4 linked regions of the Arabidopsis thaliana genome follow. The protein of the gene in region 4 interacts with the protein of the main gene of each other region in a pairwise test. Each region holds a gene or a part of one and is shown on either strand. Other genes may lie near its edges.

Evidence for each region.
Region 1: the proteins of HSFA3 (region 4) and SWI3B interact in a two-hybrid assay, tested with the Arabidopsis thaliana proteins (one large-scale study listed by BioGRID).
Region 2: the proteins of HSFA3 (region 4) and BRM interact in a two-hybrid assay, tested with the Arabidopsis thaliana proteins (one large-scale study listed by BioGRID).
Region 3: the proteins of HSFA3 (region 4) and LSMT-L interact in a two-hybrid assay, tested with the Arabidopsis thaliana proteins (one large-scale study listed by BioGRID).

Annotation. Positions count from the first base shown.
Region 1 is NC_003071.7:14,227,018-14,232,225, forward strand, and holds SWI3B (switch subunit 3), read left to right. Parts: upstream 1-1,954; 5' UTR 1,955-2,005; coding exon 2,006-2,168; intron 2,169-2,262; coding exon 2,263-2,672; intron 2,673-2,758; coding exon 2,759-3,169; intron 3,170-3,523; coding exon 3,524-3,650; intron 3,651-3,738; coding exon 3,739-3,869; intron 3,870-3,964; coding exon 3,965-4,132; 3' UTR 4,133-4,391; downstream 4,392-5,208. Other genes in the region: CRL2 (NAD(P)-binding Rossmann-fold superfamily protein), read left to right, coding at 220-389, 463-648, 723-888, 984-1,173, 1,349-1,481. UniProt on the Arabidopsis thaliana protein: Component of a multiprotein complex equivalent of the SWI/SNF complex, an ATP-dependent chromatin-remodeling complex, which is required for the positive and negative regulation of gene expression of a large number of genes.
Region 2 is NC_003071.7:18,920,953-18,925,836, reverse strand, and holds the start of BRM (transcription regulatory protein SNF2), read right to left. Parts: upstream 3,305-4,884; 5' UTR 2,637-3,304; intron 2,561-2,636; 5' UTR 2,534-2,560; coding exon 2,360-2,533; intron 2,063-2,359; coding exon 788-2,062; intron 665-787; coding exon 1-664. Other genes in the region: AT2G46000 (LDL receptor wingless signaling/trafficking chaperone), read left to right, coding at 3,790-4,107, 4,248-4,376, 4,464-4,643; AT2G45990 (ribosomal RNA small subunit methyltransferase G), read right to left, coding at 4,794-4,884. UniProt on the Arabidopsis thaliana protein: ATPase subunit of a multiprotein complex equivalent of the SWI/SNF complex that acts by remodeling the chromatin by catalyzing an ATP-dependent alteration in the structure of nucleosomal DNA.
Region 3 is NC_003070.9:4,804,746-4,809,361, forward strand, and holds LSMT-L (Rubisco methyltransferase family protein), read right to left. Parts: upstream 2,773-4,616; 5' UTR 2,696-2,772; coding exon 2,232-2,695; intron 2,142-2,231; coding exon 2,113-2,141; intron 1,987-2,112; coding exon 1,775-1,986; intron 1,660-1,774; coding exon 1,537-1,659; intron 1,449-1,536; coding exon 1,044-1,448; exon of another isoform or gene 964-1,043; coding exon 748-963; 3' UTR 561-747; downstream 1-560. Other genes in the region: AT1G14020 (O-fucosyltransferase family protein), read left to right, coding at 99-366. UniProt on the Arabidopsis thaliana protein: Protein-lysine methyltransferase methylating chloroplastic fructose 1,6-bisphosphate aldolases. Can also use with low efficiency gamma-tocopherol methyltransferase as substrate, but not a cytosolic aldolase.
Region 4 is NC_003076.8:970,366-976,194, forward strand, and holds HSFA3 (heat shock transcription factor A3), read right to left. Parts: upstream 3,962-5,829; 5' UTR 3,319-3,961; coding exon 2,977-3,318; intron 2,445-2,976; coding exon 1,548-2,444; 3' UTR 1,263-1,547; coding exon of another isoform or gene 1,030-1,262; intron 809-1,029; 3' UTR 777-808; downstream 1-776. Other genes in the region: AT5G03710 (replication factor C large subunit), read left to right, coding at 742-754, 1,030-1,262; CTR1 (Protein kinase superfamily protein), read right to left, coding at 4,593-4,689, 4,767-4,861, 4,976-5,107, 5,211-5,279, 5,513-5,611, 5,706-5,790. UniProt on the Arabidopsis thaliana protein: Transcriptional activator that specifically binds DNA sequence 5'-AGAAnnTTCT-3' known as heat shock promoter elements (HSE). Involved in heat stress response. Activated by DREB2A under heat stress.

The sequences.
Region 1 (5,208 bases), on a different chromosome or scaffold from region 4:
TCTCCCTCTGTAAATTGTCAACCTTTATTCTCTCGCATTTCTAGTTCATCGAATTTTTGTAGCTCAGCCTGGTCAAAATTGATTCTTTCGTCTACTTTCTAAGGTTTTCTATTCCCAATTCTTTTTGTAGCTCCGATGTTTCTGTCTACAGACAGAAGATTAAGCCTTTTGAGTTTGTCTATTGTTCTGATGAAGAGTTTCGCATGGTTCTTGTTATAGGTAATGAAAAGTATGCTCATTTGAAGAAGCTTGATAAAGCTGGTGACAAACTCAAGCTCTTCAAGGCTGATTTGCTCAACTACGGCTCTCTTCAATCTGCTATTGCTGGCTGCAGCGGCGTCTTCCATGTCGCTTGCCCTGTTCCATCTGCTTCAGTCCCTAATCCTGAGGTGAGGATTTCATTTTTACAATCTCATTGGTGGCTATATGCATTGTCTCACTATGGTTTCACTGGTTTTGCAGGTAGATTTGATCGCACCTGCAGTGGATGGTACGCTGAATGTGCTTAAGGCATGCGTTGAAGCAAAAGTTAAGCGTGTTGTGTATGTTTCCTCTGTATCTGCAGTTGCTATGAACCCTATGTGGTCAAAGAGTCAAGTGTTAGATGAGACCGCTTGGTCTGACCAAGATTATTGCAAAAAAACTGAGGTTAATAATGCATCTTGAATCCCTCATCTCACTTTTTTTTCTTCTTTTAAATCTGACTTTCGTCCCTCTGGCAGAATTGGTATTCTTTGTCAAAGACACGAGCAGAAAGTGAAGCTTTCGAATTTGCAAAACGAACCGGACTTGATCTCGTCAGTGTTTGCCCTACCCTTGTCTTGGGACCTGTATTGCAGCAGCACACAGTAAATGCTAGTAGCCTTGTTCTTCTCAAGCTTCTTAAAGGTATTATAAACAAGCCTCTCATTTCATCTGGGATTGTTAGAAGCAGCAACTTGGTATATGAGTTGGTATTGATTTTATACTTAAGTGTGGTGCAGAGGGTTATGAATCGCGTAATAACCAAGAACGGCATTTGGTAGATGTGCGTGATGTGGCTCAAGCTTTACTTTTGGTTTATGAGAAAGCAGAAGCTGAAGGAAGGTACATCTGCATAGGCCACACGGTTAGGGAACAAGAAGTCGCTGAGAAGCTGAAAAGTCTTTATCTAAATTACAACTACCCAAAGAGGTAAGCAAACAACAGCTGCACATCTCTCTACCCAATTTGAGTGAAAACCTTTAAACCTTAATAAGCTGTTTTTGTTACTTTCATCAGTAAACAGTGTCACTTACCTTTACATCAATGTCTCTGAAGTTTCTTTTAGACCTTACCTTTGATCTAAATTCTACTTATCCAATATCAGATACATCGAAGCGGATGGAAAAGTGAAGGTGAGTTCAGAGAAGTTGCAGAAGTTGGGTTGGACTTACCGGCCGTTGGAGGAAACACTTGTGGATTCTGTTGAGAGCTACCGCAAAGCTAAGCTTGTGGACTGAAAACTGGGAACGAATAGCATATGAGTGTTTTGGGTCCATGTGTTAAGTGTTCCTATCTGCACACGCTCTTTCATCTTTTACTCAAGAATAAGAGTTGTGCAACATATTTTCCATCATGAACTTCTGAGTTTTTGTTACTTTCTTAGACACCATTACTTTTATGACCAATCTACAATTACTCCTTCCATAACTATGTTCCAATATCTCTTTGATACGTTCCAATTTCTACCTACTTACAAAGGATAACTTCACCATTAATACATGAAATCAGTAACGCACAACTTCACCATTCGAATTAACCTCTAAGCCTAGCGTAGCAGATGCACTACATCTTGGCTGACCATGGGACTAAAAAAACATTCGCAATATTTAACAACTAAAGCCAGGTTAATGGACCTGTATTAGGGCCCAAACCAGGCCCGTTTAGATATCCGACTTTTTTTTTAACTTTGCCCATCTCGATAGCTAGATTCTCTTTTCCCTCTTCCTTCTCCGGCGAAGTTGCGTTAGTTAAACAGAGAGTCATGGCCATGAAAGCTCCCGATCCCGGCGGATCTGGGGAAATTCTCCCGAGCACTCCCTCTCTTTCCGAAACTACGTCTGGAGGCGCCGCAGCAGCTTCTAAGTCGGCTCAATTGCCGTCTTCTTCTTCCGATATCGATAATATTCACGTACCTAGCTACTCCAGTAAGTCTGCAACGCCGAGAAAACTTTGATTTATTCTACTTTCTTCACTGTTTCTTACGGATTTTGTACTTGTACCGTCTATTTAACCAATTAGGTTGGTTTTCATGGACCGACATTAACGATTGCGAGGTCCGGTCACTGCCGGAATTTTTCGATTCGAGATCTTCATCCAAAAACCCTAAGTTTTATCTCTACTTGAGGAACTCGATTATTAAGCAGTACAGAGACGACCATCCTCGGAAGATTAGTTTCACTGACGTTCGGAGAACTCTCGTCAGTGATGTTGTCTCTATTCGTCGCGTCTTTGATTTCCTCGATTCATGGGGACTTATCAACTATAATAGCTCCGCCTCTGCTAAGCCGCTCAAGTGGGAAGAAAAAGAGGCCGGAAAATCCGCCGGAGATGCTGCTTCTGAGCCAGCCACAACTGTCAAAGAAACTGCCAAGAGAAACTGCAATGGCTGCAAAGCAATTTGCAGCATAGCTTGTTTCGCCTGTGATAAGGTTTGATTTCATAATTTGTAGCCATAGTAATAATTTCATTCACTGAGTTTGTCACTTAGAATGATTATGTACATTTTTGTTTTCAGTATGACTTGACATTGTGTGCGAGGTGCTATGTTCGTAGTAATTATCGTGTTGGTATTAACTCCTCGGAGTTTAAACGAGTTGAGATTAGTGAGGAGTCAAAGCCAGAGTGGTCTGATAAGGAAATTCTGCTGCTGCTGGAAGCTGTTATGCACTATGGAGATGATTGGAAGAAGGTTGCATCGCATGTTATTGGTAGAACGGAGAAGGATTGTGTTTCTCAGTTTGTCAAGCTTCCGTTTGGGGAACAGTTTGTAAAAGAGTCTGACTCTGAGGATGGTTTAGAGATGTTTGATCAGATCAAGGACTCTGATATTCCTGAATCTGAAGGAATAGATAAAGACGGTTCTTCTCCCAACAAGCGGATCAAATTAACACCTCTTGCAGATGCAAGCAACCCAATAATGGCTCAGGTTAGAAAGACACTACAATTTGAGTAGTTGCGTTCTCTCTCTATGTTAATCTTATTTGTATAAGTCTTCAACATGCGTGGAAATGCTTTTACATTGTTAGGCTACTGAAGAATAGTCCAGTGTCTGCACTAGGCTGTTCCACGACTTGCGTTTTTGTCTCCTTAAAGAACCTAAATCTAGAATACCTTGTGGGGCTTACTTTGAAATCTAGTAATAACAAACCCTAGTTGACATATATAAGGCATTTAAGAATCAAATATGTGTTAGATAATTCTGTACTGTGTTATCACACCTCAATTGTTATGCTTCATTGGCTGTCTCTGAATAAGATTTATCCTATCATGTCCTCTTCAGGCTGCTTTTCTTTCAGCTTTGGCTGGCACAAATGTTGCAGAAGCAGCAGCTCGAGCGGCAGTGAGAGCTTTATCTGATGTAGACTACGAGGCTGACAAAAACGCCAGTAGAGACCCAAATCGACAAGGTATCAAAGACCAAGCTGTCTCTATTTGCAGTCCATTTCTGTCCTAAGCCAAACCCAATAGTGACAGTTTTGTTTTCCTGATACACAGATGCCAATGCTGCATCGAGTGGTGAAACCACTAGAAACGAATCTGAAAGAGCTTGGGCAGATGCAAAGTCTTTAATTGAGAAGGAAGAGCATGAGGTAGAAGGAGCAATCAAAGAGACTGTTGAAGTTGAGGTTAGTAACAATCTGCAACTTTCCATAGACTTTTTATTATATGGTTATACTCAATGATGATTTATGTTGGAACAAACAAAATTTGGGATTAACAGATGAAGAAGATCCGAGATAGGATTGTTCATTTCGAGAAATTGGATTTGGAAATGGAGAGAAGCCGGAAACAATTGGAGGAGGTGAGGAATCTGCTTTTCGTTGATCAATTAAACATTTTCTTCCACACCAGAAAAGCCCGGAAAACTGAAGATAGAATAGAGTGTTAGAACGCACTTAATTTGAAACTGTTATTTCTTATTTGATTCTTGTCTGGTTAAGAAGATGACTTGTATTGTAGTGTACTTGAGATGTGTTGGTAACAAAATGAGATGAGATCGAATTGGTATAAATAAGGCTGGGTTGGTATAAAAGTCAAAACCAAATGGCAACTGCGTCGAAGTATAATTTTTGTCTTTATCAGGCAATCACAAGTGGAAAAGTTTTAAAAATTAATTTTGCTCTTTTGGAAACAATAGAAAATGTCAGGGTTTTGGAGATATCCGATATAAAAGATAGATTTTGTTTTCACTAAATAGGTTAATCTTCAAATGTTGTTAAGTTACCGATGTTTTTTTTGTATCTCCGTAACATGATTACTCTCTTTGTTGCTAAAAGAGTGATGGTTTTTATATTAAGAAACAGTCATTAATTAATCATTTCTGTATTGTTTGTTATATTAAACATTTTCAATAACTATAAACCAATAGCAGTCTAACAAATTTCAATCATTTTATCTTGAACTTTACTAGTTCAGGTTTTTCAGACAAACTAAAAAAACATTGAATTTTCTGTTTTATCTCTAATTAATGTGTTATTTAATATCATATCATCAATTAATCAGCCAAAACAATAAGAATTTCTTTTGGAAAATCTTTCAAAAACATGCATTGAAAATATAAAACGATAACTAATTTAATACAAAATTTAATTTCTAAAACATAACTAATTTAGAAAGGAGTGAGTGATATTTAAAAAAAATAAAGAAAAAACGAAAATGTTTTTTTTGTGGGACAAGTTAAAAGTGGTAGAACATCAATTTATTAGAAACAAAGAGAGTGTATTTTTCTTTCTTCCCCATCGGGAAACCAAACCCAATTTATTTATATATTAAACTCGTACAATATAAAATCTTTTATATTTAACTAAAAATTCAGTAAATATCCATTCTTCGTAAATATTTAAACTCTATTTTTTCTTTTTAAAAAGATCAATTTACATCTTAAATTCAAAATATAAACCATAATATATTATGTACATATTAATACTGCATTCTAAACAATTTCCCAATATAAAAAATAAAAAT
Region 2 (4,884 bases), on a different chromosome or scaffold from region 4:
AACTGTCTGTTCTTTTCTTACTAAGGAACTCTGCACCTTCTTCACAAATCAGATCTTTAATATCATATGCTAATGTGAGATTGTTATTGGCATTGGCTGTTGCAGACCCATAAGAGTCAAGTTTTCGAGTGAAAAAGGGAAAATCAAACAACGGTCCATAATATTTCCTGGCAGAGGCTGTATCCTTGGGCGGCTGGGGAGAGTTTGCTTGTGGAGGAACCTTAGATTGGCTTCCATCAGATGCAACAGCCTTTCCCTTATCAGCTGTAGAATCACTTCTAGGATTCTTTTGAGTACTAGAATCTGCTCCTTGGTCTGACTTAACAGGGAATACATCAGTCTGTTGCTCCTCTTTCGTAGCCACGTCAGTAGAAGTAGCTTCTTTTCCCAGGTTTTGAAATAATTGGCTGTGGCCTGTCGTCAAAGCTACTTCTGTATCTCCAACATTATCTTCCTCTTTAGAAAAAATTGGTCCATTTGAAGAAGCAGCAGCCTGAGACTCCTTGCCACACTCTAGCGACCTTGCTTGGTCTTCTCCAGTTTTGTCTGAAGATCTATCCTGAACTTTCCCTATGGCAGGAGATATTTGCCTCTGCGTCTGTAGTTCAAGCGGTGGTGGAGAAATAGCTTGAAGAAGCTCCGGAGGCAAAGAACCTTCCCCTTTCTGTCAAAAAAAAGCAATTAAAAACATTCAACCTGGCTTGCAGACACGTTATTTATAGGCATACATCTCCAGCAAAACATACAATAAAAATGAAGACATAAGGAAAAAGTCAGAGCTGAAAACCTTCAAACGCCTAAATGCCAGTATCTGGGCTTTGAGAACATGGAGTTGCTGTTTGGTAAATCCTGATCGCTGCTGTGCTTGTTGGGTCCCCTGTCCACTCTGAAGGGACGAGTTACTGAGTGGACCAGTATCAGATGGCGCTACTAAATTTGGAGTCGGTGTATTCAGTTGCCTAGGCTGCTGCATTTGCAAATGTTCAGCAGGACCTAAACTTTTTTTTGTAGATGCATTCTGATCCAAAACAGGAGTCTCATTTGCAGAAGTCTGCAGGGGATTTCCTGAGGGCATCCCATTTGTAGGCTGAACTAAATGTCGAGGATACATTGGATTCTCTCTCCCTTGGCCGGAGAAGGGATTCATAGCAGGATTGACCATTCTGGGACTGGAAGTCGAGGCAAATGAGCCAGTAGATAATGCATGTCTGGCCTTCGCTGATCCTGACTGCCCAGAGATATCACTAGCAGAGTTGGCATGTGGTGAATTCTCACCTGGAACAACCGAAGATGAAGCCGGCTGGCTAGAGATTGGAATAGATGGTGACTGTGAGGCCACATTGCCTTCACCAGCTTTCTGTTGAGCAGCCATTCTTGCCTGAAGGATGTGTGCCATTTGGCTGGCGTTGGCAGGATGTGAGAGATCGATATTACGCTCACGCGCCCATGCCTGCATTGCCTGCCACTGTTGTGCAAATGCGAGTTGGTTGTTTCCCATGTTATTGACAAGCTGCTGAGCCTGTGGTGCTTGCATTGGCCTTATCATATTTCCAGGCATTAGTTGTCCGGTACCCACCTGCTGCTGAGGATGAGATTTTGTTTCGTTCCTTTGCTGAGAACTTGATTCAGTCTGCCTTTCACCGCGAGCAAACTGATCGCCCGATGGCTTCGATGATGAGGCCTGGGGCTGACTAGACGGATTCAAGTCTTGCATATTCAACATTCCCATTCGTGCATCTTGATCCTTTCCCACACTTGATGAACCCACCATTCCCATCCTAGCTTGCTGCTGTGCTTTTTGATGCTGAGCCTGCATAGCAAACTGAATATACGCTTGCTGCATTGGATTAAAATTTTGCTGGCCCTCTTGGGTAGAAGAACCCTGTTGTTGTTGTTGTTGTTGTTGCTGAGGAGACTCAAAAAAATTTCTAGACTGCTGAGGCATTTGCATAGAGCCCGGAGACGAAGCAAAGTTGCCACCGCCCATCATTCCCTGAACCCCACCAGGTTGATATGCAAACATATTTTCGTTTGTATCTGAGTTTCTGTGCTGCTGCTGCTGCTGCCATATCAGAAGCACGATAATAATTAGTAACAATCAAATGAACAATAATCCACAATTCAGAGCAACTATATATATATGTGGAAATGAACAAAACATGTTCTCCAAGTGGCTACCATTACACAACTTCAATTTAAAGATATTGGTTACTTTCCTTTTACACAGAATTGATAAACAGTCAAGTCCCACTAAAATTGAATAGCCGCAAGTTTAACAGACAAACATTAGCCACTACAAACAAGCATTTTATCCCTCCTAAGTCATAACGAACCAAACAGAGACTTGAGAATCCTTTACCTGCCTAGACGCCAGCTGCTGTTGCTGTTGCTGCTGTTGCTGTTGCTGTTGCTGCTGCTGCACAGATGAAGAGGAAGAAGAAGGAGAAGCAGCGGATGACGTGGAAGCAGTCCGACCAGCCGGACCCATGGCCGGATTCCGAGCGGGCCCTCCGCCACTGCCTCCAGATTGCATGCAATTGGTCGAAGAATCTGACAGTCACTACACTGGAAACAATTAAACCCAATGCACAACGAAGCTAGTAGAAGAAGACAAAAAAAAAGTGGAAAAACCCTACCCAATAAATCCCTACAAAAGAATTCGGACAGCGAGAGCCCCCGAGGCAAAGGAAAAAACCTCAAATAGCAACAGAGAGAGAGAGAGAGAGAGAGAGAGAGAGACACTGAGTCGGTTGAAGCGCACACACCTTTCTATTTCTCTCTCTTCTTAGATTTGCATCGAATTTGGGGGAAATCGGAAAACGAAAGTCGCGGGGGATGCAACGGTATAAACTCAGATCCTTTGAGATGGCTTCTCGAAAAATAAAAATAAAAAGGGAGGGAAACGAAATCCACGGAATCGATGATCGATTCCTCTCTTTGAGAAATTCACGCAGATCAGAAATTTCTCGCAGTCAAACCCTAGCTGGCTTCTTACTTCCCTTTTTCTTTTTTTTCTCTTTCTTTTTTTTTTTGGAAGGGGCATTAATTTTATTTTATTTTTGATTGTAGGTCCCACGCCTCGATACAGTTGGAACACGGAAAATGCGTTTCACGAGGCCACCCCTCGGTTTTCGCTTTTATTACCACAAGTACCCTTCCTTATACAAGTCAGTTGCACAAATGACGATGAGACACGTGTGAATTTACCAAACGTTCCTTTTGTTAACCAAATGGAATGACTTTTAATTTTTCCATGTTTATTTCAAATATTTGTTTCCGTATTGGGTAATAAGAATACTAAAATGATACTACTATAAACAAATTTGGAAATCAAAAAAAGAAAAAAAAAAACAAATTTGGAAATCAAATTAGACTTATGTTTGTTTTACTTGATTAATTAATTTGAATTTAAAATTAGACAAATTTTGACTTTTAGTTTTACCTTCTGTAGTGCAGTAGTAGATTAGAGAGAATCATACAATTACCCTTGTTTTATTTACGGTGCAACCTCGTGTCGTTTTCATCTTTCAGCCTTGATATGCTTGCCATCTTTACGTCAATAGTTGGCACGCAGTTCTATTTTAAGATAGAAAAACGGCGAACAGTTTTGAACCAGCAGGTTCAGTTTATGTCGTTAATAGTTTTTTTTCCCGAAACAAGTAAAAAGTCACATTATTATGGTTTTGTGACTTGTGTGCGAGTTTGTAGAAGCTTTACTGATATAGAAATGCCGTTGCCGATGCAGTCTCTCTTCCTCTGTTTCTGATTCCTGAATAAATTTGTTAAACGATGGAGAAGATCGTTCGTTCTTCTTCGCTGATTCTACTTGTTGGCCTCCTTCTTTTTATGAATTTTCACGGATTTGTCCGGATCGCCGAAGCAACGAAGCGACGGATCGAGATCTCCGATGACCTAGACGACGTTGAAGACAATGAAGAAGACGAGTCATGGAAAGAGTGGGGGAAGAAAGCAACGACCCCGGAATTTGATCCGCCTCCGGATTTCACCAATATGGGATTCGATCAGATCCAAGAGGAAATGGCTAAACGGACTTTTGGAACCGTCGTCGGTTTCGTCAAGCTCCGGTTAGGCGTCCCCCGTACCAAGGTAAACTAAAATCCAAATCGAATCGTGAATTTGGGGTCCTTAAGTTATAGTTTCAGTTACTGTTCAAAATTCTCTGAATTCGATATGGGTCCAGTTGCTTCAGGGGATTGAATAGTGATCTGTTTATATGTTTCAATCAGGATGTGGTGATTGATATTGCTATGAAATGGACAAAAGTTTTAAGAACAGGAGGGATAGGAGTAAGATTCATGGCTGTAGATCGAAGCACAGTGATGTTCAATATGCAAAATGGGAAGCTTGTGACTGAGGTAAAAGCCACAGAAAACACACAATGCTGAAAACTTTGTTTAGTGGATTAGTCAAAATCTAACATCACAATCATATCTTTCAATTAGCTAAGGGAATTCGTGCTGAGCCAAGAAGAAGCTTACGAGGTCAAGATAGGGAAGCAAGAGTTTAGAAGACCTGGAGATCCTCCATTTGAAGATGTCTTTGACAAATTTCAAGCTGAGCAAAGGAAAGATCACGAAGATGGTGATGGTAACAAGAATGATCTTACTAAGGATGAATTATAGGTCACAGAAAAGCTTCTATAATGGGTAGTACTGAAAGTTCAACTCTTTTACTGAATCTTACCTAAACATGTTTGGTTTTTAGTTTCCGTTGAATGCCGTAGAATACAATAAAGAGGAAAGCTTTGTTTCTTTTCCAATGAGTATATGCACTCATTTAAGCTTATTGCTAAACGTGGAGAGCTCAATAACCTGAATCCTGGGAATGCCTGCTGCTTCAGCTCTCTCTTTCTCAGTGTTGTAT
Region 3 (4,616 bases), on a different chromosome or scaffold from region 4:
CATTCAATTTCATGACAACTAAAAAGGTGGTGTTAAGAATAACCAAACCTGTGATTCTATATAACCATTATTGGTCTATATCTGATTTGAATTTGCAGATACCTTGGATATAAGAAGACAATCCTGCTTGACCGTAAGAGACTCGTGGAGCTACTAGACTTACATCACAACAAGACCCTCACGTGGGATCAGTTTGCAGTAGCAGTCAAGGAAGCCCATGAGAGACGAGCAGGAGCACCTACTCATCGAAGAGTAATCTCTGACAAACCTAAGGAGGAAGATTACTTCTACGCAAATCCTCAAGAATGTCTTTGTGAAGGTACAAATTGCCACGACCTGTTTGGCCATAGAAATTTAACACATTGAAGTCATGTTTTTAGCATATTATATCTCATTGCTTCCGCAAGAGGACGGCATGTCAAACACTTGAACGGGAGCTGCATAGTTCCTTCCCTGAGTTTTTCCATTTTTGTTTGTAATTTTTTTCAATTTTCCTGCATAGTTGCTGATCTTGATTTATTTAGTTTTACGTAAATTAAGATGTAACTAAAAAGAAGATTATGTCTCATCTTATAGAATTTCAAAAAGCCTGCTTTTGGCAATAGCCTAACATACAAATTGTGGTCTCTCAACTCTGATGTCTTGAGGTTGATTCAAGTCTATGTGGTCTGAGACCAAACCAGTAAAGATTTTCTTTCTAGCCTTGAGTTTGTTCTGCAGGATAAGCTATACAAGCTAAGCTAATTCTCACTTGGTTTCCCAGAAGATAATATCCCCTTGTTCGCCAACCAACCCAAGATCTTTGAGCCTTCTCTCTTGGTAATACTCTAAAATGTCAAGTTCAAGCTCTCTATCCTTGAAGATTTGGTCGATTTGCTGAAGCACTCTCTTCTCACCAATCCTTATCTTGAGAGCCATTTCCAACCTAGGCTCAAGCTTTCCTTTGTCCAGAAGCTTCTCATCCTACAACAGACGATGAAGACGAGTAAGAAATGAGTGTTAAGCTGCAAAGACAGTACAAGTAAGAGCTCGAACATATATACCTCTTCAATGGTCGTATCAAAACCAGACAGAGCAGATTTGCAGGCATCTCTGACAACACGGCATATGAGTTCCTCGTTTGTACGACTTACAGGCAATTCAAGATGACCCCATATGGTGTTATTGAAGATAGATTCTAATAAGAAAGCATCTGGACCGCCAAGAGCCACAAGCCGAAGGTACTGAAGCATACCAGCGGGAAGAGTCTGGCCGTCTACTATGTCAAAGTATCCGGTCTCACCCATCTTGTTACTCTCAGCAATATCCAACTTATCCCCAAAGAATGGGTCTGATTCTGGTATCTCTATTGTTAAAGTATATGAGTTCCGTTTAGGGTTTGATTCCACAAAACCATAGTCGAGAGCAAGTTCTGCATTGCTTTTGTTCAGATCGTACTGAATGTATACCTATGGAAGAGATCATCCAAACAGTATTAAAGGGCTTGTTCTTACACTCTTGAGGGAGAAAACTAAGTAGACAGTGTTTGGAGCATACCTGCTCACCTGCTTTAACATAAACAGGTGACTTCAAGGAAAATAAGAGATCTCTAGAGAAAAGGCCGGCTCCTTTGATCTCGTATGCATAATCTTCTGTCTTTATCGCGGGGTTATGGTTTATCTGTTCAAATTCAAACATTGAAGTCAGAGATTCTCTGCTGAGCCAAGCATCAATGAATGAAGATTATTTTCTGAAGTTTTCACTAGACAATATCTGAAACAAGAAGATAGCTTGCCAAGTCTGCAAGAGGGATCAAGACAAGGTTTTGGCCACGGAGACGAGAAAAAGCCCTCGACTTGAGGATCCCAAACGCCCATATGAAGTCATCAAGTGTTATGCGGGATGAGAAGAGATCTTTGTTAGGCAGTAATATCTCTTGTTCCAGTTTCAAGAATTCATTCTCCACATACTCTTTCACACCCAATGTGGTGCTCAACAGTTGAGTCCCTGAGCCAAACAACAGTAACCACAAAGTTAATAATGTACATCATCATCAGCTACTGCTACTCAGACCAATTGGTATGAATCTAAACAATGATCAGACTTTTCAAAGAAAAGGGTAAGAAAATGGACCTTTAAGCTCAGCAAGCTCCTCTTCTGACCTGTACTGGAGACATTTCACGAAGAAGACATCTCATCAGCTTAGTGTTGATCAGAGATACAATTGATGATCAGAGAAGGACAAAACCCACCAGAAGACAGTAGAATCAGTAGATTGAGGAAGCATATCAAGATAAACTCTCCATGAAGACTCTTCTTCATACTTCTCTCTGATCAAAAACAGAGCTACTGAAACCCACGGCTTTAATCCGCCGCATAAAGGTCCAATCTTGGAAGCAGTCACTGTCTCTGGGTTTATCCACAATCGCTTGGGAATCTCCAATACGACCTCGTTTCTTCCAATATCACGCCTGGCTACAAGTCCCAAACCTTCCGGTACCACCGCAGGTTCTGCCACAGACTTCCCGGATACGACTCCTTGGTCTCTGAGCCATTTCCAGAAATTCCGAACATTTTCCGGCAACTCTGAGCTTGAAGCTGAAATGGGTCTCACCAAAGATTTCTTGGGTCGAGAAAAGAGAAAGGAAGGGTTTTGAGACTTTTGAATTGACGGGATACGGAGAAAACCCGACACGACGGCGACGGAGGCTGACATGGTGGTTTTCCGATGGCGGGTAGTATCAGTGAAACAGAGAGTGTGTGGATAACAATAATATCACATCAGTTTTTTCTAAGTTGTTGATGAGACAAAAATCTAGTTATTCTAGTTACCAATGTTAAAGGCCCATTATTCTAAAAGGCCAAGGCCTACATTTTATTTTTGTTCTGATGTAATTAAATTGTTAATTGTCTGTATTTATTTTCATTTTTAAAAAATTATCTTTTTAACTTATGGTAGCTTCAACTTCTTTTTCTTTTTTTTTTTTGTCATCTCAACCTTTGTAAGAAGAAAAATGGTCAACTATAGCTTCAACCTCAAATCTACTGACTTGACACTTGAGTTTTAAATAGGTAACATCTCATGGAGATCCCAATATTCATTCTAAATTCCTCCAAGATAATGCAACATGTTACAACAACAACAACAACAACAACAACAACAACAACAACAACAACAACAACAACAAAAGAGATTGGCCGAGACATATATGTAGTATGTACCCACCATATCACACATACCTTCATAATCATCATCATCATCATAATATCAAGTGGTCTAATTCAAATGTTTTTGATTTAATTATGTGTTTAAGTAGTTCATATTTAATTGTGTGCTAAAATACTTATTGTAATTGAAGAATCAAATATACAAGTCTTATTCACTATTCTTAATCAAATAGAAATTAGTCTTAAATTTGTAATTTAGGGGGTACAATGATCCACTATTCTCCATCAACGTAGAAGACAAGTAATTTACTTTGTAATATAGGTAATGGTACGTACGTAGTAATCACATGTAAAAGCGGAACTTTCCTTTCTCTTGTTTTGCCGGCTTGACCACGGGATATGAGACCAGTAAGGTACATGTGTAATGTGATACCTATCAGAAACCCTATTACACTCTTATCAAAAAACAAAACAAAACCTATTACACTCTCTCGGCTTAATTAAGATTATGATCAATTCCAAATATGTTTCTGATATAACTTTAATTATTAACGAGAAAACCAAAGTTTATTGCTACTTTTTTCCGTCGAAATGGCCGCTATTTTAAGTTTTAGACAATAACTTGGTCCATGAAATTAAGGTACAACGTCGATATTGATTAAGATCAGTTTACTTTTGCTAATATAACGTGTTAAGTTTGAGATGGGAGACACGTGAATGACTTTTCATTACTTTCAAAAATTGTTCAAAATTCCAAAATTGGCAACAAGACTGTTTTAGTTGTTAATATGCAATTAGACTGTTTCAATAGAGTGTATTTTTCTTTGTCAAAATGTAATAAGTACTAATTTGTCATACAAAATATCAAATGTCAAGAACATAAACTCTTCTAACGGAACCGCTTGTCGCGCCGAAACTCGTGTGGTAAACCTGAAAAACAACTCACTAATCGCAATTTTAAATCAGAGACTGAGAAAACACTTCTCACGAAAACCACAAAACGCGGTCAATATCGGGATGACGACATGATGTGGTGGTCGGATTGACACAATTCAGGTTGGTCAACAAAATTCATCCCTCTAAAATATATTTTCTTAGTTCGTTGCCAAACAGATATCTTACCTTTACTCTTTTTTTTTTTTTTTTAAAAACTCATATAAATAGGATAGTTATTAAATTTAACTACAAATGGTATTGTATATGTATATTCTATGGCTAGGTGAAAAGGCTTCCTTTAGTTCGAGAAGGTCAAAATGGATGGCTAATTAACTTTTATATACAAACAGTATATGCCTAACATTTAATAAGGAGAGACTCAGATTCCTTGTCAACTACTCACTATTGTCTCCATGACTCTTTAAAAAATATATTTTTATAGAATCTTAGTATTCAGAAATTAAACCGTAGCCTTTATAGGATAACAAATGTAGATGATGTTAAATATGAAAATTGGCTCCACAACTGTCCAT
Region 4 (5,829 bases):
AAGTTGTTTGTTGCCTAAGACCTACGCTGCGACTATGACTAACTTCAAATTATAAATAAGGAGTTATAATGTTTTTTTCTAGGTAATTGATTGGAAAAATTGTTGACATTTCCATTAAGAACTCTAATTTTCCAACTTGCTTTGAGAAAAAGGTATTAAAAGGATCGATCCATACCAAACAAATCACATGAATATCTTAGTAAGTTTAAGATTTGACTATATGGCATCTAACAGACTATTCACTGAATATGTTCATTTGGTCTTAATTTTCTGATTTCGAATATTTTTGCAGTCATCATATATTTTATATCAAAATGGGCATTTAAAGCCCACTGTTAATTTTTAATTTCATTATAATGGCCTGCTAGATTCACTTGCAACAATCTATATTCGATGGGCCGAAACTAAATAAGCCCAAGTAAGAAAAAATTAATGTTGACAGTGGGATTTGAACCCACGCCCTTTCGGACCAGAACCTTAATCTGGCGCCTTAGACCAACTCGGCCATATCAACTTTTTGATAGTAAAATTTCAAAGTATGAATATAACCGATTTGCATAGATTTAAATGACAGGGACATGCCCTAAAATCCCTTGGTCCGATTAATAGCCTTCACTTCACGGCAAGTTCACGCCCTAAAAAGTAAAAACTGCGCTCGAGAGACGAAACCGCTATCATCTTCTTCGAGAACTTTCTTCTTTGACGCATCGTCTCCTTCAGGTCACAGTACCTCTCAAGACAATGGAGTTCTGGGGTAAAAATCTCCTATCTTCCTTCTTCTTCTTCTTCGTTCTCTGCGCTTCGTTTCCTGCATTTAGGTTTTTCTTTTTTTAAAAAAAATCTTTTGGTTTCATCATTTTTCTTCGTTTCCTACCGTTTCTTCTATGTGTAATCGTCAGGTTAGCTAAACGTGAGACGAGATTACATGAATACTGGCTATTGAATTTGTAATTAGTTTATAAATCTGTTATAAACCGGTACAAATTCCTTCAATCAAGACACAAAACATACCCCAACAGACAAGCAAAGGAGAAGAAGAAGAAGAAGAAGAAGAAGAAGAAGAAGAAGAAGAAGAAGAAGAAGAAGAAGAAGAAGAAGAAGAAGAAGAAGAAGAAGAAGAAGAAGAAGAAGAAGAAGAAGAAGAAGAAGAAGAAGAAGAAGAAGAAGAAGAAGAAGAAGAAGAAGAAGAAGAAGAAGAAGAAGAAGAAGAAGAAGACAGAGAGAGAGAGGAAAGAGCTTTTGCATTCGTACCTGGGACATAAATGATTAAACCAGACAGCTTCAGAGAGAAAAATCCTTTTAAAGAAACATTGTTCCACTTCAGACCTGCAAAAATTTTAATTACTCAAGCAGATAAAAGCATAATTTTGTGTTATATATCCTTCATAATCAATGTTATTAGACCCTGGATTAAGTGAATAAGAAAGGAACAATCAAACTCATCAATATTATATATATGTATAAAGAGTGCATTCAAAATGAATAATGAATTAATAGTTCACCCGATAAGAAACGGGTTTTTGGTCTAAACTATATATGAAAAGATCCTAAGGATCATTCATTGGCGTATTATCATCATCATCACCAGTTGGCCAGTTGAATCCAGTCTCTGTGATTCCTGCAGCAAATTGTTCCCAGCAGACATCAGGCAAACCATCACTTGTTGTTTCTGCAGCAAAACCAAACTCTGAGACATCATTATAGTCCATTGTGTTTCCCCATGCATCGGTGTTGCTGAAACTCGGTATTGTAGTATCGAAACCCATGCTCCATGTCGTCTCTTCTTGTTTAATAAGTCCTTCAGGAGATGGGAAGGACATCAAGTAATCTGGTTTGCTCATCTCTTCTTCTGATGGATACATCAAGTTCTTGCCTTTTGGATCGCTTGAAGTCATCCCTCCTAAACCCTTGGTGTTCTCAGTCTCTTCGTCATACATTAGCAATCTCTCCCAATCATCAGCTTCATACTTCACCACCTCCCCTCCTGTTGGAGAATCTTGAGGCTGCTGGTGGTGCTTGATGAACTTCTTTCTCGCCTTTTCCAATCCAAGAGCTCCTCCTTTTTCTTTTCCTTTGAAGTTCTTCAGGCGTTCCAAGAAACCCCGGTTCTGAAACAACTTAGCCAAGAAAGAGAGCAATTGCTTCTGACGTTGCTCTGCAGCTTTCAGCCTCTGGTTTACAGTGTCCACATGTCGAGCTGTGCCTCTGCTTTGCTGCTGAAGCTCAACCATTTCCTCCATCAATGCACGCCGCTCTTTCCTCAGCTTCTCAATCTCTCCTCCAACCTCAGTAGGTGACCCTTGGCTTTGGCTAGTGCTACTGCAGCAAGTTTGGTTGGATTGTGGTGATCGACGACGATGAATGTTCTTCAGAAGATGCTTCTTGCCTCTAAGGAAAGCCTCGTTAGCGAATTCCCACTTGTCAGTATCAATCTTTCGAAATCCCTGGAAACATTCCAACCCCAAAAAAACAACTCAAACAAGCTCAAGATAAAGTAAGTAAACACATTTACATCAAGACAAGACCAAATATCTCAAGATATTAGAAAGATTCTACCTCTGAAGTGTGAAGAACATGTGAGTAATGATGTCTTAAACCAGACTGAAGTTAACATTGTGAGAAAATAACAAAACTTCATAAACCAAAATTCTCCATTCAAACGAAACCATAAGTATACAAGATTACAAGCTTATTTCAGATGAGAAGTTATTATAAGATCCAATCGAGGCCAAAATTTCATAGATACAAAACTCAGTGTTACATGATAGAGAGATTAAACAAATCCCAAAAAGAAAAGAAAATTACAGGTAATTTTTTACAAGTTATCAAAAAACGAGTTTCAAGAATCTATACAAAATGGTTTTGGTCATCAAAAAGATTACAGAAACATAAAAACAAAACAAAACTGAAAGAAGAAGAAGAAGAAGAAGAATGAGTCTATCTAGAAAACAGAAACAGAGCAAGAGAGATGATTACATAAGTGTTAAGCTGTCTGACGAAGCTGGAGAAATTGTTGTGTTTGAAATTCCTTGGAAGTATGATTCTGGCAAACTCTAGAGGATCCCAAACTACGAAGCTAGCTCCGGTCAGTCCCCAAGAGATGACCGGGTCAAGAGTCGGGTCATCAACCAAATCAAAAGTCTTGGATAAAAAAGGTGGAATTGGATTCCCTTGTAAGATGTCTAGTGGCATGGGAAGTGGTGACCCAGAGAAACCCATGTCAGTGTCGACGTAGAGAGACCCGGGTATATCGGATCGTCTCGAAACGGGTACTGAAATTGGAGTTGGTTTAGAAACAGCATCTTTTTTTGGGCTCATTTGATATAGTAGAAAATTTACGGGTTTTAGTGAGAGAGAGAGTGAGAAATTGGGGTGTGTGTGATAATTAGGGGGTTTAAGAGAAGAAGGATGAGAGGTTTAATGGTTTATAAAGGTTTAGGGAAGGAAGTAACCGACAAACTGTAGTCAGATAATTGAAAAAAATCTGGGGAATAGAGAGGCGGTGGAAATGGGTGGGTCAGTTCCCGCCACCGTGGATTTATCTTTTTCGTCATCATGTTCCATTGATTCATCAGTTTAGAAGAAATTTGGAAACTTTAGTGACAAATAATTGTACAACCGACATTGAAATTGAAAGTTGTTTCCTTGCAGCTTCACTTAGCTCTCTCTCTCTGTGATTTGGTGAAGGAGAGAAAGTGGTGACGATGGTGGGTCCCACGTCATCTTGAGATTTTTGAAAGGAGGAGTGATTTAGCGCGTTTGCCAGGTCAGCTTTCTAATTTGGAACTGGGCCCTCACAAATCACTGATTCGCTTTTCGTGTTTCCTTTTTCAGAATTTAATATTGTATAATTTTGATTTACGCAATCCTATTGGTTACCGATCCATCAAACGATTAATTCGGAAGACAGGTAAAGTCGTTTTCAAGTGTGGGAACTTACTTAGACGCGAAGGCAAAAATAGTTGACTATGTATCTAGATATTTTCAGTCCCAATGCGTTTTTAACGATTTGGGATTATATTCATCTGTATTAGAGTCTCCGAAAGTTACAGTCTTATTTCATTTCTGTTGGTTTATAGTCCAGACTAATCGCACAGTGAACAAATGTAAATCCAATGAATCATATTGAGTTTGCAAAACCCTTTGACAGCATTTACCAGCTGCTCTTTTTTACCTTCGCTTAGTAACTAATTTAGCGGTATAAATGTACAGCAATGTAATTAAATATAGCTTTCAGTGCATTGCTACAAAGACATAACAACAAAATATTGCTTACCCTTTGGGACTAGATAGATAGATTATATCCCTCACATTGTTTCCATTACTACATTTTTTTTTCCTCCCTGTGACAATAGTCATGTACATTTTAACAATCTGCAACATTAAAAAGGGAACAAAACAGCAGACAAAGATCGCAAAAATAATACATGTATAAAAACCATGGGATTCTGTAGGATATGATTGATAGCTCATGAGGAATGTACCTTTAAAGCTATATCTTAACTAGTGTCTCCCTCCTGGGCAGCAAAAGAATGCTGAGAGTATATGTGCATATCATGATTATAACAACTTTTGAATGGACCGGGGGTATTTTACAAATCCGAGCGGTTGGGCGGAGGAACCGCTGATTTGATCAATGGTCTTAGCAAGTCCATTATAGTTGCAAATGATGGACGCTTCCATGGCTCACTGGTAATGAAACACATACATAAACATGAAGTCTATTCAAGAAGAATTCAAAAAAGAGATAGAAAATCTTAACGTACTTGGTCCAACAACCCTCGATTATGGCTGCAACCTGAGGATTCAGATTACGCGGGATCTCCAGCCGTTTACACTTGAAACCAACCGCAGCTACAACCTATGGAACATTTTTTTGTATGATCATATATAGCATGTTATGAAATGTAGAGTGAGGGACTTCCAAATGCAAAATAATATCATTATTATTTGAGATGTTTAGAGTGGAAAGTACCTGAGCCGGATTTAAGTTACCCCATGGTTGTTGCAATGTAGCAAGCTCCCACAAGATGACCCCGAAGCTGTACACATCTGACTTTTCATTAGACGGCTCATCTCGCAGGACTTCTGGTGCCATCCACTCGGGCTGATATATCAAAGTCAGTAATTATTTAGCTTCCATTGGAAATAGGACCTAGAAGAAAGTTACGTTGTTCAGCGTGTTTTAGTTTCAAACAAACTGAACTTACGGTTCCAGCTGCTGACTTCGAGGAAAGAAACGTGCTGGCCTTCAATCGCGAGAGACCAAAATCACAAACCTGAAATTTCAAGACAAATTGAGGAGTTAGAATAATAATGTTCTGATTGTTTTTAAGACGACAGCTTGAGGCTGCTGTATCTTTTAAGTTTCAGCAGATTAACGCCTTTTTGTAATGTCTCCAAACCAATTTAGAATTAAAAATCATAATTTATATATAAGCTTGTCTCACAAGAGGAATAAAATATCAAAATCAAAACATTGGACACAACAATTTCTAATTTAGATTCAAACCTTGACTGTATATTTTTTGTCAACCAATAAGTTTGGAGATTTTAGATCTCTATGCACAATTGGAGGATTGCGATTGTGAAGATAATTCATTCCCTTAGCCTGTGACAGAGAATTGGAAAGAAAGTTCCATGTGAAGAAACACCAAGATCAGGAAGTAATCACCCATACATGTAACATAAGGAATTAAACATACCACATCATAAGCCATACTCAGGCGACGTCTCTCATCTAATTGCTCCCTTGCTCCACTTTTATGCAAAAGTCTGTATAAACTACCTCTGTTTGAAAGAAATCATGGTATTAGAGTCATTATAGGC